Lepisosteus oculatus: one gene and its partner. The main gene of each other region encodes a partner of the protein of the gene in region 2 in a complex. Links are inferred from orthologs where the notes say so. Each region holds a gene or a part of one and is shown on either strand. Other genes may lie near its edges. The genes, in order: cinp and afg2b.

What was found.
Region 1: afg2b (region 2) and cinp share a complex: the UniProt entries of both Homo sapiens proteins name them as parts of the 55LCC heterohexameric ATPase complex. The link is inferred for Lepisosteus oculatus from reciprocal best matches to the Homo sapiens genes AFG2B and CINP.

What each region holds. Positions count from the first base shown.
Region 1 is NC_090703.1:6,422,171-6,430,225, forward strand, and holds cinp (cyclin-dependent kinase 2-interacting protein), read right to left. Parts: upstream 3,062-8,055; 5' UTR 2,956-3,061; coding exon 2,949-2,955; intron 2,676-2,948; coding exon 2,498-2,675; intron 2,180-2,497; coding exon 2,047-2,179; intron 1,813-2,046; coding exon 1,683-1,812; intron 629-1,682; coding exon 426-628; 3' UTR 254-425; downstream 1-253. Other genes in the region: tecpr2 (tectonin beta-propeller repeat-containing protein 2), read left to right, coding at 5,060-5,278, 5,986-6,114, 7,078-7,209, 7,400-7,557. UniProt on the Homo sapiens protein: Component of the DNA replication complex, which interacts with two kinases, CDK2 and CDC7, thereby providing a functional and physical link between CDK2 and CDC7 during firing of the origins of replication.
Region 2 is NC_090700.1:43,670,488-43,678,536, forward strand, and holds the start of afg2b (ATPase family gene 2 protein homolog B), read right to left. Parts: upstream 3,016-8,049; 5' UTR 3,010-3,015; coding exon 2,940-3,009; intron 2,573-2,939; coding exon 1,479-2,572; intron 1,156-1,478; coding exon 970-1,155; intron 814-969; coding exon 655-813; intron 1-654. UniProt on the Homo sapiens protein: ATP-dependent chaperone part of the 55LCC heterohexameric ATPase complex which is chromatin-associated and promotes replisome proteostasis to maintain replication fork progression and genome stability.

The DNA of each region.
Region 1 (8,055 bases), on a different chromosome or scaffold from region 2:
TAAGACATTAACAGGAACAATTCCTAATATTTGAAGTTTATATGCTGTCGCTTATATAAAAGCAGTGTTATTGCTTTACTCTTAACTTGTGACGTTTTGGTTTCCATTATAATAAATATCTTTTCTGAGCTTTTAAAAGGATGAGGGCCCTGAACATGAGATCAAGCAGTCTAACTTCTTTCAAGGTTTCAAGAGAAATGTTCATCAAAAGTATTTGTTTATACACATATTCAGGTAGAATTGCCTTGTTACTGTGCTATATTTAATTCTCTGTGAGCTTCCCATGTCACTTCACCCTAATATCGCATAAAATTGGACAAACAATTCAAAATGAAGTAGTATATACTCATTTCTCTGCCAAAGGAGAAAGAATGCAGTTTTTCATCTGAAACTGATGACATTTAAGATAAGTCCTCCAGTTTGCTTCACAGTGGTCTATGCCCAGTCTCCAGCAGCATGCTTTCTAAAAGAACCTTGGTGTTGTCCTCAATGTATGGCTGATGAAGCCAGGCTGACAGATGAACCAGGGAAAGACTACGGTCAGTTGTGTGTGCAATTTCTTGCACTATTGTTTCTTTAAGGGTCAGTTCTTGCTCATAAGATTCCAAAAGTTTTGAGGAGACGTCATCTAGAGAGAGGGGGGAAAAAAAAAACTTTTACAGCATTCAGTGGGTCTTGATGGACACTTTTATAATTACTGTTCCAGATTATTCTGTTTCTTGATTTTAACTTCCACTGCAGCCTTTTGAATTGTTTTGTGAAGCACTGCTTCTTTTTCAGGCCTGAAGAGTGAAAGCCTGATGGTGCTGGATTTATTGCACAGTACATTTACATCTGCTCATGTAAAAATCAATTCAGTTTTCACCCCACGGTTTCAGGAGCTTGGCAAGGCAGCACAGGAGAGTAAAACAGGAGAACCTCAAGTGTAAATAATGCTGCCAGTATTTGTTTTTTTTTCTTTTATTTGCACGCACTGGATCTCTTAAACTTGCACTTTTAACGCTTTATTGAGAAAGCACACATGAAAACGGAACACAACATTAAGAAACTATATGGTTTTTAACGGCTTTATCCAATACAGGGTCGTGGGGAAGCCAGAGCCTCTCCCGGCAAGCGAAGGGCTCAAGGAAGGACACAACCCGGAGAGGACTCGCAGACATGCATACACTCACACCAGGGGCAACGTTCCATAAGCTTGGATGTGTTTGGACTGTGGGGAGAAACCCGCATAGAAATCCCAGGGAGAACATACAAACTCCATGCAGATCGCACCCCAGGAACTGAACTCGGGGCTCAGTGCTGCTAACCACTACTCCACCGTGCTGCCCACTTTTAGTAACACTTGACGTTTGATGACAAAAAACAAGCTGTAGAACCTTATAAACATCTTTGCTTTGTAAAGGCACACGGTAAAAGGGGCATCCCGGAACTTCAAGTTAACTCGAACTAGTTAAGTCTTAACTACAAAAGAGGCTAGGTCAGCCAAAAAGCCAGCTTGTGATTGTAACCTTTCTTGTTTGCACAATTAAAAGTAAGTGAACAGTAAAAAATTGTCAGAAACCTATTCTATAAAAACATTTTTCTGCAAGTATTTTACATTTTTACAAGATGAAGTAATTTGGTCTAGCTTGGTTCAACAGCATATCCCTCATATATTCAGTACCGATTTCATCTTTACTCACCAAACTGTGCCGTCGGCCAAGTATGAAACAAAGGGCTTTCTCTTCCGGCATCTCCATGGTGAAATGTTTCCAGTGCACATATGCCTTTAACGGTAGATGACAGCTTCCTCATTTTTGATACAAGGTGAGTCTGGCCATAAATGGGAACAAAATGAATCCTGTGTTCACACTTTTATCATGTTTTCTTAGAAATTAGTGTATGTTTCAGAGTTATATAGTTTTGCATATATTTACTCAGGGACCCGAGCTAAATCTACGTGCAATGTAAGTTCTGATATAATGTACAAAACGTAGCGGTCCACTTTGAGGGATGTACATGAAAATGCAATTCTGACAAGACTGCAATATTATTGCTCTTACAGACCATTTTCTCCAAGATCCTCAACAGCTCAGTGCATTCGTCCTGCAGTTCCTGGTTTGGTTCGGTTGCAGTAGCAGATCTTGGGGAGACAGCTGAACCATCACACTCCAGTTTAAATTCTGAGTCATTTTCTGTTCTAGTAAAAGCAGACAGGGTAGTAAAAGTGGAGGTGTTTTTTATTACTAGAATAATAGTTTATATAAACAATACTATACAAACACTAGACTAAAAGTACATATTACTAGAAATTAAGGGTATGATTATTTTCATATATGCTCCTTATACAGTACCTGTTACACGTCACTTTTCTTACAAAATCAAAATTAATTTATGGATCTCAATTTCAATTTTCACACTGGAAAGTAAATTTTCTTAAGCTAATGGGCAATAACAATGAAATGGCAATGCACCACTCTCTATTGGAGATGCCAAATGCATGTAGAATAATACTTACATTTTGCTTAGTTTCAGGTTGACAATTTTGTTTGCAATTGTAAAACCTTCATCATTTAATCGATCCCATTTCAGAATGAAGTTGTGCCAGTCAGCAGCATTGTCCTTTATCTTTCTTGCACTGTTAGTTGAAACAGGTCTTCTAATAGATGCTGCATTCCCTGAACTGTTCACTGAAACTTAAAACAGAAATCGATTTAATCGGATTCATAGTAAATATCTAAAAGAAAACTGTATCTGAACCACATTTAGATATATCTGACGAAATAATCGGTTTTGCTTGCTCTCGTATTTACATGTTTTCACTGATATTCAATTAACTAAAACTCTTAAGTACATAAATCGGCATGAACTCTCGAGTAGAACATAAAAAGGTTTGTGGTTATTTCAGACAACTACTTTGTATAACTCTTTGACAGACTCCGAACTCACGCACTATAAAAAAAACTAACCTTCCATGTCAGTAATTTTCAGACGTAATACATAAATAAATTGCAATGCTTATCCCCGATGTAAGATCAAGCATGTTTACTGTAGGAGGCGGCCATATTGAAGACGTAGTTTACGTCACTTCCTGATGTCAAATGTCAACCAGTCGAACCTGTGATGTTGATGCCTTGTTAAAACAGAGCGACTGGGCTTTCTGGTAACAACAAAAAAAAAAAAGAATTTAACTGCTGCTTTTTTTGTTTACAGTTCATAAAATGAATGTACAGAACACAATTAAATTGGCTGATTTACAGAAAGAGAGAGAGAAAAGGTATCCAATGTAATGTTCGCGTTGCAACGTAAGTAAGAGATAATTTCGTTTTCTTGGAGCGTATTCTGCTAACATAGCCCTGTCACTGTTCAGTGACTACACTAGGAAAGCAGCGTGTTTGGCTTTGTTTAATATTATTTTTTAAACCAAAAGAGTAATACAACGTACATTAAAAACGGAATTGAAAGGTACAGAAATCCGGCCTTTGTTAATGGTACAGTACTGGGCGTTTAATTTTTAGAGGCTCCCAGACTGTGTTCGACAAATTTCTGTTTTGCTATTGTAAGGAAACGGCGTTGTGAATGCTTTTCCTCTCACGAATATACTCTGTGGCTAGCTGCATCTTCTTTCATTACGCTCGTTGTCACCCTTCAATATGAAACGGACCGTCTGCTGTGTGCATTGTGCTGTGCTTGGTGTCTTGGTGGTACCACAGTCCGTAATCTGCCACTAATTCACTGTATTTGCAGTGACTTTTCAGTTCTGGGCGTCGGCGATCTTATTTTTGAAAATGCGTCGTGATGATAAACCCCCAGTTGTTTGTGTTGCTGTGAGCCTTCTGAGCGTGTTTTCATAATGATAGAAATAACTGGCTAGACAGGACTAGTGATGGCCTCAGTTACAGAATAACGCCTGAAACTTGGTTTGGGTTTGTTCTGCTTATGTAGAGGAGATAACGAGATTTCAGAAGGCAAGCCGCTGGATAACTCTAATTGAGTGACAGTTTTAGGGAATTGTCTTCAATTTTCTTCTATTTAGTGTCGCCTTGTACACATAATAAGGCGAAGTAGAAAAGGCTAAAGGGTTTTTCGCGGGTCATTTTGTTTGGACTTTTTATCAAATTGCGTAGTCGACAAACATTATTATACATTAAGTAGTGGGGATGTATAACGTCTCTAATTAAAATATAGGCCTAACATAATAACCTTAATTGTGTTAAGTGTATTTCAAAGCAGTTGGTAAAGACGGGCTAAGAGTTCAGTTATCTGTGCACAATGTATGCATGGCGCCTCGTGTGCAATACTGCAGGGTTTTGCATGGTAATACATTTGAAATAATTGTCAGGTTTCAGGATTTCCAAAACTTGCCTAAATGGTGTCCTTCTGGAACCCAATACCTGTGCATTGCTGATTCTGTGAGTATGATCAAATACTTTTTTCTTGTTTTTCCAAGCTCTGATTTTCGTGTCCTTTCTTTTATATGTATATGTACCATTTTAAAAGCATATAAACAAAACCGTTTGTTTGAATTAATAATCTGTGCAACATCTGTGTTCTTTTGCCTTATAAAGGTACTGTATTTTCATTTTCACTTAACTGTAATAGTATGAACAATATTAAGTCTTAAAATACATATATATATAAATCAATGCTGAATTTGTTTTATTGTTTGTCTAGATGTAAATAACCCGAAGGAGTGAATGAACTGGGATGTTCATGTAGTTTGTGAATAAACAGGGATGATTGTTATTTTTCAGGGAACGGACCAGAACTGTTCAGTGCTGCAATCTGAGCACTCACAAATGTAATTGAAACCCATGACTGCAGTGTTGCATATCTGACAAGTAGCCTCATGAAGTCTAATTTCTGCTAGATAAATGGATGCAAGGAGTTTCTTAATTGTGTTATTCGTTCACAGAAGATTTTGGAAATGAGTGAATACAGCAATTACCTAATTTGTGGACTTCTGCGACCGAGATATAGGTCTGTCTTTATCAGGTGTGTGTCGGCACTCCCTCCCAGCCTCTCGCCCTCCTCTGCCCCTCTCTCAGCGTCTGCTCCGGCGCCACCCTGACCCCCCGCCATGGCTGCCCAGGCCTCGCCTGCCGCCCTGAAGGAGTTCTGCCCCCTCTATTACCTGCTGAACACCATCCCCGCCAAGGTGCAGAGGGGGTTTCGCTCGGTGCTGGTCTACCTCACCGCGCTGGATGCCAGCAGTGACTACATCGCCGTGGGCAGCAGCATTGGCATGCTCTACCTCTACTGCCGGCGGCTCAACCAGATGAATAAGTATAACCTCGAGGTACGGCGCGCTGGGCGTGTAATTACCAGAGGTCCCGACGGCACTATGATCGTCCCGTTTGTTTGAATACTTTGCGTTGCTTTGTCTTCAAAGTGACAGATTCCCTTCCCTGGGCTCTACCTAACCCTCTCACCCACAAAGTGCGGCAGGTGAGGTCCATCTGTATTGCAGACCATGACTTGTACTGTATTGCATAGATTGTTAAACTGGCGTATCCACTGGAAGATTAATGATTTAGTGGGACTAAGTGTTAAATTATAAAGGGAATAGTTCTTTTTGGGCTGCTGGTCAGCTGTTGGTGCACCTTGTCAAGTAATGCACTTAAAAATCAAATTGACATGAGGCCAGGTTGGCTCTGAACATCTGCTGCTGTTGAATTGTTCCCTATGATTGTCCACTAGGGGGCACTGAAGCTTTCTCTCACAGCAGGTTGGGGATTACATACGCCACAGGCCCTCTGGGCTTTTTCAACTACAGGCCCAGGAGACTTGAAGGTCTTTCGGTTCTCATTCCCCCAGTCCTTTAATTAGTTAATTGAGCTAAGAGTTTCACTCTTTGGAAACGCGTCCCATGGACAGTTGTTTTCAAGCCTATGTGTCTTACATATTATAGCATCGGTGTAATGCTGACTCGCGTGGGTAGTGAAGCAGTTTGAACAGGAGAGAGGTTACTTTCCACTGTCTCAGTGTGGTGGCGTGTCCGTGCAGGGCAAGACCGAGGCCATCACCTCCGTGAAGCTCCTGAGCTGTTTCGATGACCTGGTGGCAGTGGGCACGGCCTCGGGCAGAGTGGCCCTCTTCCAGCTCGTCTCTCCTCTTCCCGGGAGGAACAAGCAGGTCAGTACACTGCCAAGTGCTCAATAACACTTCAGCACCCCGGCTTCTCCATCAGTCATGAGTGAATGACAGAGAGTGGTAATTGAAATGGTAATATCTGTGCAAAGCATGCTGAGTATAGTGTTGCTGGGCGGAGCGGAGGCACTGTGGCTAAGGATCTGCGCCTGTGGCTGCAAGGTTGCCAGTTCGAATCCCACGGCTGGCAGAGGAATCCTACTCCGTTGGGACCCTGAGCAAGGCCCTTAACCCCAGCTGCTCCAGGGGTGCCGTATAAATGGCTGACCCTGCGCTCTGACCTCCATCTTCTCTCTCCCCGTCTGTGTGCCTGTGTGTCTCATGGAGAGGAAGCTGGGGTATGTGAAAAGAGAAATTCCTAATGCAAGAAATTGTATATGGCTAATAAAGTGATTTTAGTTATCTTACTGATCTTACTTTACTTCTTGGGTATGTTGTTGCCTCATTGGCTTAGTAGTGATACAGTGTTAGTCTGTATCATGTTGCCCTTTTAAATTGAGGTGCCTTTTGGTAATAATATGATGTGGGCTGGTTCGTGAAGGTTTATATCTCAAGATTGCAGTAACTCTTCATGGAGTAGTCATGGCTTCTTATGCATGTTTCTTTTTTTTAAAACTTAGCCTCTTCATTTGATGATTAAGGGTATATCTTTTCAAATTGGGTCCACAGGCTAAAATATGAGCCGTGAAATCAAGGCGAGGAATGAAATGAACACACGGTCAATGCAACTAACCATTCATGGTGCTTCTGAACTTTTTGTGGCTTTTTTATGTGAGTTTGGGTTAATTTGCCACATTATTTGGCATAGTGTGCATTCATTTATTGAAAGTGAGCTGGATAAGCCTTTCTGAAGGACCAGTGTGCTGAAGACTTTGAGAGTTCCCACAGTGTTCGTGGGCATGACACTGCTGCGTCGGCGTGCCTGTGATTTCCCTCTCTGACCCACAGCTGCGGCGCTTTGACGTAGTTGGACTTCACAAGAGCACAGTGACAGCCCTGGCCTGGAGTGCAAACGGAATGAAATTGTTCTCCGGGGATGACAAAGGGAAAGTTGTCTATTCTGCCATCGATTTGGACCAGGTACAGCTCCCGTTCATTTGCTGATCCCAGTCTGGTTGTTTAAACAGCACTGGGTGTATGAAGCCTGGTCAGTTTGTCTCCTCTTATTCCTTCAGAGCATGCTGCGTGCTGCTCTGCTGTAGGCACCTGGTGCAGGCTCGCCTAATGCCTAATCGAGCCCTGTCTCTCTCTGGCTCCTCTGCGTGTGCAGGGTGTGTGCAACCCCAGCGTGCTGCTGGAGGAGCAGTCTGCCATCGTACAGCTGGAGTACAGCCAGAAAGTTCTGCTCGTATCCACACACCAGCACAGCCTGCTCTTCTACACCGAAGAGAAGGCAGTCCAGCAGGTTGGAACAAAGCCCAGGAAAGGGTATGGATTCTTGAGTAAAATTAACACTTATTGTGGGTTGCAAAACCACAGACTTTGTTGCGCTTGCAGTTATAGAAAACTGCAGTATGCTAGTTATTGTGTTGATTCCTAACTGTTTTATTGATAGGAAGTATAGGCTGGCCTTCTGTATAGAAAGTACAGATGTTAATATCATGCCTCATGTGGAAAGGTGTAGCTAATTGGCATGTAACCTTGGTTATATTTGAAAGAAAAATGCTTAGTCCATTGCATGGGGGGGGGGTATTCCTTTTGTGAAGACCCTGTGTTCAGTCATAGTGATCAAGGCTGTTTCCTCAGTGTTCCCAGCAGTTATCTTCAGGAAGACGAGGTGTTGGTAGAGATGTGATTGATAACCTGTGTGCAATGTTGAATTGAGCCTCAGAGGCGGTCTGGGCAGCCTGGGGGCTCTGAGAGGTTCCCAGCGATTCAAGAACATCTCTCAGGCCAGGCCAGGCCTGGGCAGACTCCGGATTGTCG
Region 2 (8,049 bases):
CTAAAGAAATGTCTTGTTTTCATAAAAAAGAAGATATATTATTAAACTTGCTTTGTGTTTACGTGTTATTTCAGGTACGATTAAAAAATGAACTGCAATCTGACAGTGTGCACTAGGCGGTATTAATGTTTTTTCCCGCCTTGTCCCTGTAGTATTAGACATGCTTTCAGGGGGTCTCCTGAGTGGTCCACTAAAGGCCTGAGCACTATGATGTGCTCTATGACCACAGGTTTGAGCCTACGTCATGTCACTAGCCGACTGTGACCAGGATACCCAGCATGGGGGAAAGGATTAGAGGAGGCTCTCTGGGCTCTGAGTGTGGGCTGGCAGTAAGGGGCACGCCTCTCCTTCTATCGGTAAGGCACCTCCAGAAGGGAGCTGTGCTGCTGTGGCGTGTTAAAGGTCAGATGACTTGAAGGCAGGCAGGCTGAAGGACTCTGCCTGCTCTTCCTCATTCCCCCCCAAGGGTGGCGTCACTGAGTGTGTAGCTGTGAGCCGAGAGCTGAAACGCACACAACTGGCTACTGCAAATCGGGTGCGTATAAAAATTAATTGATGATTCAGATTTTTTTTTAAAAGACATACTTTCAGTAAATGTTTTTTTTTTGTCAGGATGTTCATACTATGTTGTGAGTGAAAAACAAAATCCTGTACCTGTTTCAATTTCAGTTTGACTTCCTCTAGGCCTCCAATCTGGTCCCAGGTGATGTGTTTAAAGTCAGTTAGTCCAATGCTGCTTCTGAGGCACGAGGGCTGAATTTTCTTCAGGGCTTGCAGGAAGTTCTCCATGCTTATCACGTGACACCCAGAGTCCTTCCAAAAGCAGAAGTAATTAAGTCTCCCTCATATCGGAGTTTGCACCTTAAACACCCAGTTAAACTCAGGCTACACTCTGGCACATCCCAGGTAATTCTGACTCCAGCCTCGCAAAACTGTGTGCTTAATTCACAGGAGTCAGGGAAGCCGTACCTGGGAGCTGTGGAGAATGGCTTGTAAAGCAGCTTCCCTGCAGAGTGCAGTCAGGTCAGCACCCACGCAGCCCGTCGTCATTTCTGCCAAAGCATTCATGTCCACGTCACTGGACAGAGACATTTTCGAACTCAACATGTCTAAAATGGATTTTCTTTGAAGAAGTGTTGGAACACCAATCACAATCTGTGGGGAATGAAGAAGGGATTCAGTTACTCATATAATTCTGAGAAGTAAACTAAACATAAGAAAAAACTACAGGGTTACTGTTATTTTTATAGATACAATATACACTATTAATACATCAGAATATATGTCATCATTAAAGAGAATATATAAGAAGATCTAGTACAACGCGGCAAACAAATATTATTATGTCTAAATGTTAAAACTGTCTAATAAAAACACTGCAATTTGAGAACCTACTGATGCTTAAACCTTCTTCACTGGTGTAGCAGCAGAAGAAGGAATGGGACTTGATTATACTTGACTGTGACCGGTTACTCCACCTCTCTGTCAAATCGCCCCGGTCTCCTCAGAGCAGGGTCTAAGGTGTCCGGCTGGTTAGTTGCCCCCACGACGATGAATCGTCCTTCGCTGCCGATGCCGTCCATCAACGTTAGGAGCTGAGCGACCAGGCGGTTCTCCGGCGCGCTGGAGGATCCGGCTCGCTTCGGGCACAGGGAATCGATTTCGTCGACGAACAGGACGCAGGGCCCCTCCTCCGACATGTCCTTTGCCCGACGGAACATCTTCCGTAAATTCTCCTCGCTCTCCCCTGGCCTTGAGCCGAGTATCACTGGGCCATTGATGGTAACCAAAGAGGCTCCCACTGCCGCGGCTACGCTCCTCACAAGCAAGGTCTTCCCGACCCCTGGGGGCCCGATGAGCAGCACTCCTCTGGGGCAGGAGAGACCAAGTCTGTGCAGTGACCTTGGGTAAAGAAGGGGCAACTTCAGGATCTCTGTCAGGGAATCGCAGACAGCGTCCATCCCTCCCAAGGGGATCTTGGAGGAATGCTGCAGCTGGGTCTTGTGCTGGCTGAGCGTCTTGACTTCGCCGACCTCTATGCTGGTTTTAGCAGTGATGAGGCCCGCTTCACTGCCGCAGGGGTGTATGTGCCGAACTTCAATGAGCTCAACCGGAGTTTCCAGGGAAGCTACTGGAACCACATGATCGGGGGAAACATACAAGCCACGGAGCAGGTCTTTCACCAGCTCAGGAAGCAGAGAAGGGGGCGAGCATTTCTTGAATTCCATGTGACGGACAATGACGTCGACTCTGATGCCCTTCAGTTTGGGGCAAACGATTTTCTTGATGTGGCTGGGACTCACAGCCAGGGGCCTGGGAATCCCACCAATGAGATCCTCCGTGATGCATTTGGTATCAAACTGCAAGAACCCTTCAGCCAGGTCGCTCCGAGGCCATGCTGTGCACAAGCAGTCACCATCAAGGACAGAAATGTGTACTGGCGTCCCGATGTTCAGTCCCAGAGACTCCATTAAACGGGGGCCAAGTCTGCACCTCTGTGTCCCTTGATCGACAGGGTCCAGAGGCAACACCTGTAGACTCATGTTTTCCATGCCTTTACCAACCGGGAGACCTGGGAGATCATAAGAAAGACTTGTGGCAACGAATTAACTGGTGGAAACACTGCCATTTTTGTTCTAGACCTTATTGAAGCCAAATGAAGTTACCATAAATTCTCTATTGCGATGTGACTCCTAATCCGTTTAAAACATAAATGTATCCACGAGTTGAATACATTTGCAGTTTGAAAGGATAATCTAAAAAAACACGTTTTTAGTAACAGGAAACGAATTAGTTTCCAAAATCATAGTCAGCTAACATTTTGACAGCACAGACTTGCTTTTCTACACAAAAAGGACTAACAGCTTCTTTACTTTCTTTACTTTTAGAACACTGGAAAATAAAATGCTATATAAATACATAGAAGTAAATTTTCTTACCCAAATCAAGCTCAGCACATGATATCCGACTACTCAATGACCCAAACAAACAGAAGCATGTGGCCGGCATCACAGATTGGCCAATTGTGGGCTTTCTCATGGTTTACACATTGCAATTCTTATTTAATTCTTATTCTTATTTATTCTTATTTAAAAACATTCTCTGTACAACTTCAGACATTTACCGATATTATACTTATTTTGAAGGTCATATTGTCTGATTCTGAATAAAAATGAACGTTTTTATACGTAAAGTTTTTTGTGTGTGGGTAATATAATTTCAGACAAAAATTCCGTGTTTTTTATGGTTGGCCAACAGAAATGTCATGACAACCAGAGCCAACTTTATTCGACGTTTTCAGTTTAATATTTAAAGTAGTTGTAGTTTATGACAAAAGAAAAATGTAAATACCTCATAAAATCAATTTGTTTTTGACACCATTTCCAATAAATCAGCGTGCTCTTAAAGCTGGATGCGTTGCAATTCAGGTAAGATTTTGTTTATTTAAAAAGTATTTTTTTGGTTTAAAGAAGAATTAACAAAAAAAAAAACACAAAAGGCAGCATCTCATATTTCCAACACCAATTTTACTTATACTATTTTTATCAGGGTTTCTCAAATTATAATGTGTGACCATATATTTCAAAGACCACTGGCGCCACCTTGTGCTTGCAATGCGCTTTTCCTTCATGGGATAATTATTTATCTGGCCCTTTTGATTCACATGAAGTGTTATACTCTTTTTCGAAACTGTACCGCTTACACTGAACTCCACAAGCGGTTAAAACATACCCTGATACCTGGATAACTGGAACACCTTTAAATTTAAAGGTGTTATGTGGTTTATAAAAAAATGCCTTTTGTTTCCAAGCTTCAATGTTTGCTGCATCTCTTTGATAACAGCTTGTTGCCCGCTATTTTAAAAAGAATTTAATAAATACAGATTCACTAAAAATCTCGCTCTTAATAGTCAAGTAAGTGAGCAAAATTCAGAAGTGAATCAGCACTTTTCACCATATTCTAGCAATAGGACAAACAACTGAAAAATAGAATGAGTATGAGGTTCCACTATACATCCATTGCTTCTCAGTTCTCGCTATGTAACATCCACTTTGCTATAATTCGGGAGTGTCAAACTTAATTCCTGGAGTATTCCTGGAGCTTAGTATCTCGAGGTTTTAAAGTCCAACCTGAATAGCCACGAATTAACCTTTTTTTTTTAATTAGGACAGCATAGTGGTGTAGTAGTTCAGGTGGGTAGCTGCGTCAGCATGTGTAGGCTGCAAAGGAACAAGTAATAGGTTTATTCCATGCTGAAAAAAAGAAGAAAGAGAACACAACGTTTGAAACGTTGTGTTCTCTTTCTTTTTTTTCAGCATGGAATAAACCTATAGTGGTGTAGTGTTTAGTATTGCTGTAGTTCTTGTAGTGTTAGGGGCCTAGACTCTCTGTGTGGTATTTACAGTATATGTTCCTCCCATATTCACATGGGTTTCCTCCCACAGTCCAAACACATGCTACTGGGTTAATTGGAAATATTCTGGAAAAATTTGGCCCAGGAGTGAGTTAGTGTATGTTTGTGTCTGTGTGTGCCCTGTAGTGGACTGTCATCCCGTCCAGGATGTCCCTGCCTTGTGCCCATTGCTTGCCATGATAGGATAAAGCCAGTATAAGATGGATGGATAGATGTTCTTAAATAGACATATAGGCCTAAAACATTCCTCTTTAGGTCTTTTACAATTTACAATGAAAAATGCACTTCAGTAAAAGTAGTTAGCTATAAATCACCTTCATGCCTGTTTATCAGTATTAACAATTATGCATTCATTAAATAATTAGACCAGCTATGTAACTGAGAACCAGACCAAAAACCAAGAGGCACCAAGCCCTCCAAGAACTGGGTTTTAGTTCAAAGAAAAACCAAGGCACTGAGAAATCCTACACTACACTTTATCTGGACCATTTAGAGCAATTATTCCAGTACAAAAGGCTACCGAGAAGGATAATGAGAAAACTAGGACTAAGAAAAATGTCCACCAAAGTGATACAATGCTGTCAACACCCTTTTACAGCCACACTGGAAAATGTTATCAGAGGAATAACGTACCCTACTAGGGTACAATTACAAATTCAAGAGCTGCATAAACTCATAACAAAGTGTGTCTGAAAAATGGCATCAAAAGAAAAAGTAAAATGTTTCTTTTACACAAGTTAAAATAAATGGCATCCACGTATGAAGAAGCCTATGATTATGTACAGTATATTTGTGTCAGCTTACATGGTGACTGAAAACTAAATGTCGCAAAGGAAGAGAACAGTCATACTAGACTGCAGCTCTTTTATGAGATGACGTATGATTCTAATGGAGGAACTGTCCAGCTAAGAATGGCTCTGCCATGGTTATTTTAATTAGAACTGACAGCAAGCCTGATTGAAACTCTAGGAACTGCCTTTCTTAGTTGACATTACAATGCCATGGTGTGCATGGATGTGTAATAACAAAAGAGCTTATACTGTCTTTAATTACAGCTAATTAAGTATCTGCTGTGATACAGAACAGTTCATGCTTTCCAGATTTTTAGAACCACCGTGCAAAAAAATAGAAAAAAACATTTGTTTAAATTTGCAGTCAGTACAGATGATTTGTCTGCTTTGCTTCTGACAAAGTTTTAAGCTAAGGCCAGGCTTACATTACTGCCAAACACCAACATTCTGGAGCAATGTCTTAGGCTTAGTCCTTGATTACCAAGACCCTGTTTCTTCTGCTGATGAATAGGCCTATATTTACACTCTCAAGAACTGTGTTGCTGTGTTTTAGCTTGTCTGATGAGCTCCATCAGCTTGAATGATTCTTTTCTTGATTGTAATTGTGCTCCATGCCATTTGATTAATTTTATTCAGACTGCATTCTGTTTGTAAAAGAGACATTTTTTTTCACTGCAGTATACTTCAGATAAATCAACCTCCTCAAGTAATTATTGGTGATCAAACACCTACTGAAACATTGCAATGTAGGTTGAGAACAACAGTTAATTTCCATGTTGACTGGTAAATCCTTACATCCCCACAAATGTACTGCCTAAAGTCCTCCTTTGTTTTAATTCTGTTATTTGCCTTTGGGTAAAATATTTTAGTGTGTCACAGAAAGCAATATTATAAATTGAGAGGTGTTTTCCTTTGATCCTGACACTAAAGCTTTTACAATTTGATGATCATTTGACTAATCAGCAAAGGTTTTTTGTTTTCATTCTGAATAAGCAGACCAGAGATAACTCTCTAACAGCTGTGGACCTGTGGACCTGTGGACATGTGGACCTAAAATTGGCATTCTTGTGATGGTCAGTATCCATCAATGAAGCCTTCTTTACAAGGGGCATGTTGTAGTTGTATTGTAATATGCATTTAACAATGAAATGCTTTGTTGATGCATGGTTAAGACTCAGTCCTTTGATATGTTTCAAGGTTCATCAAACAAGGCCAAAAGTACTGGCGGTGGTTCCCATGGAAACCAGGCTGATTCCACCTCACAATTGCTACATGCGTTCAGTGCAGTGTTCCAAGGCAAAATGCTCTGTAAACAACAGGCTGGATGTTTGCATTGATAGGCTATGTGTCTTGACCTTACAGGTGAGTGGCACTGTTGTAAACATCGTGTTCTGCACATTCTCCAGACAGTTACCTGTCCACAGCCAGGGTCAATAACTGTTCTGGTGCGAACCGGCTGAAAGAGCCGTCTGAAGGTTTTCGACCAAGACAGTGCGGTGTGAAAAAAAAACCTTCAGAAGCCTGTCTTCCTGCAAAATGTGTTTTGGTTAGAAAGCAGCAGAGAAACACACAAGACTAAAGCTAATTAGAGGGAAGAAGTGGAGAATAAACAGGCGCCAGGTGATTTGAAGACTTAATTATGAGCCCAGTGACAGGAGAACTGAAGCTGTGAGAGAACAGAAGTTCTCGGAGCAGGTGAGGCAGCTGGGGAAGATCCATGGAAATCTTTCATGTTGGAAGCGACTCCAAAGTGACAGCGTGTCGGCTACAGCTCGGGAGGAGAGCAAGATTTTTTTTTCTTCGAGGAGAGATTACAAACTGCTGAGTGGGTTTTAATGTTTCCATTAAGTTATGTAGCTCTCCCCGCAAAGTTAAAAAAAATATATTTTAACGGTTCGCTGTTAAAAACTGTGCATTATCTTCGTCGGTTTCTAAGAGATAACAGTGTCGCGGATGACTAATTTGATTTTATAGCGCTGAAGCAGATCGCCGAGGGAGAATTGATCAGAATGCAGTTACGTAGAAACACCACCTAACAGTTAGACAATATCGTTTAATTCATACATGCATACGGTTCCAGAATAGTTGCACGGCTACTAACGCAGTAGACGGTAAAGCCCATCCATAATATGCCATATAATGTTCTTGTTCTTAATTTTGACTGGAAACACATCTTTCTATACACTGTGGTATACAGTAATTGCATAAATTGTAACGAAAGGTAGTTAATTATTGTGAGAATAAGTAGTGATTTTATATTATTTTAAAGTCTCAAAATAACCCCCAAGAGGGTATACTGGTACTTTCTATGTGAATAGCTGGGAACACAATCCAGAGTTATATACACGGTTACAGAGGTAGTCTGCTCTAATTGCATGACTTTGTAACCAGCCTTATACTTCTTTCGTAAGCAACCTGCGCACAAAAACGAAAGAGACCGTCTTTCCTCCAGTTTTTCTCCAACTGTACAGAATAATCAGATTACACCTAGGAATTCATTTTTCTTTAATGAGGGCGACGGACGTTGAGAAGCGAATTGCAACATCGAGGATCGAGACGCCTGTGAGAGACCAGCGCTGGGGAAGATTGCGCGATAGTGCACTTCCCACTGTGTGACAAGCTCGCAGCTCCACCCAGACTGAGCGCTGTCGGCTGGAGTGCCTTGCATAACGGGCTGGTTCTTCGTGAAGTCTTTTTTCGTGTACGGATGATGTAATTCATTAAACGCAACTGTGTAAGCATATCTTGTATGTTTAGCAGCAACGTTCAGTGTTTGCTACTCAGAAACGTGCAATTTTCGCAGCTGTACCTCTGATACTGCATTGTAGGTTTGGTCATATCGCA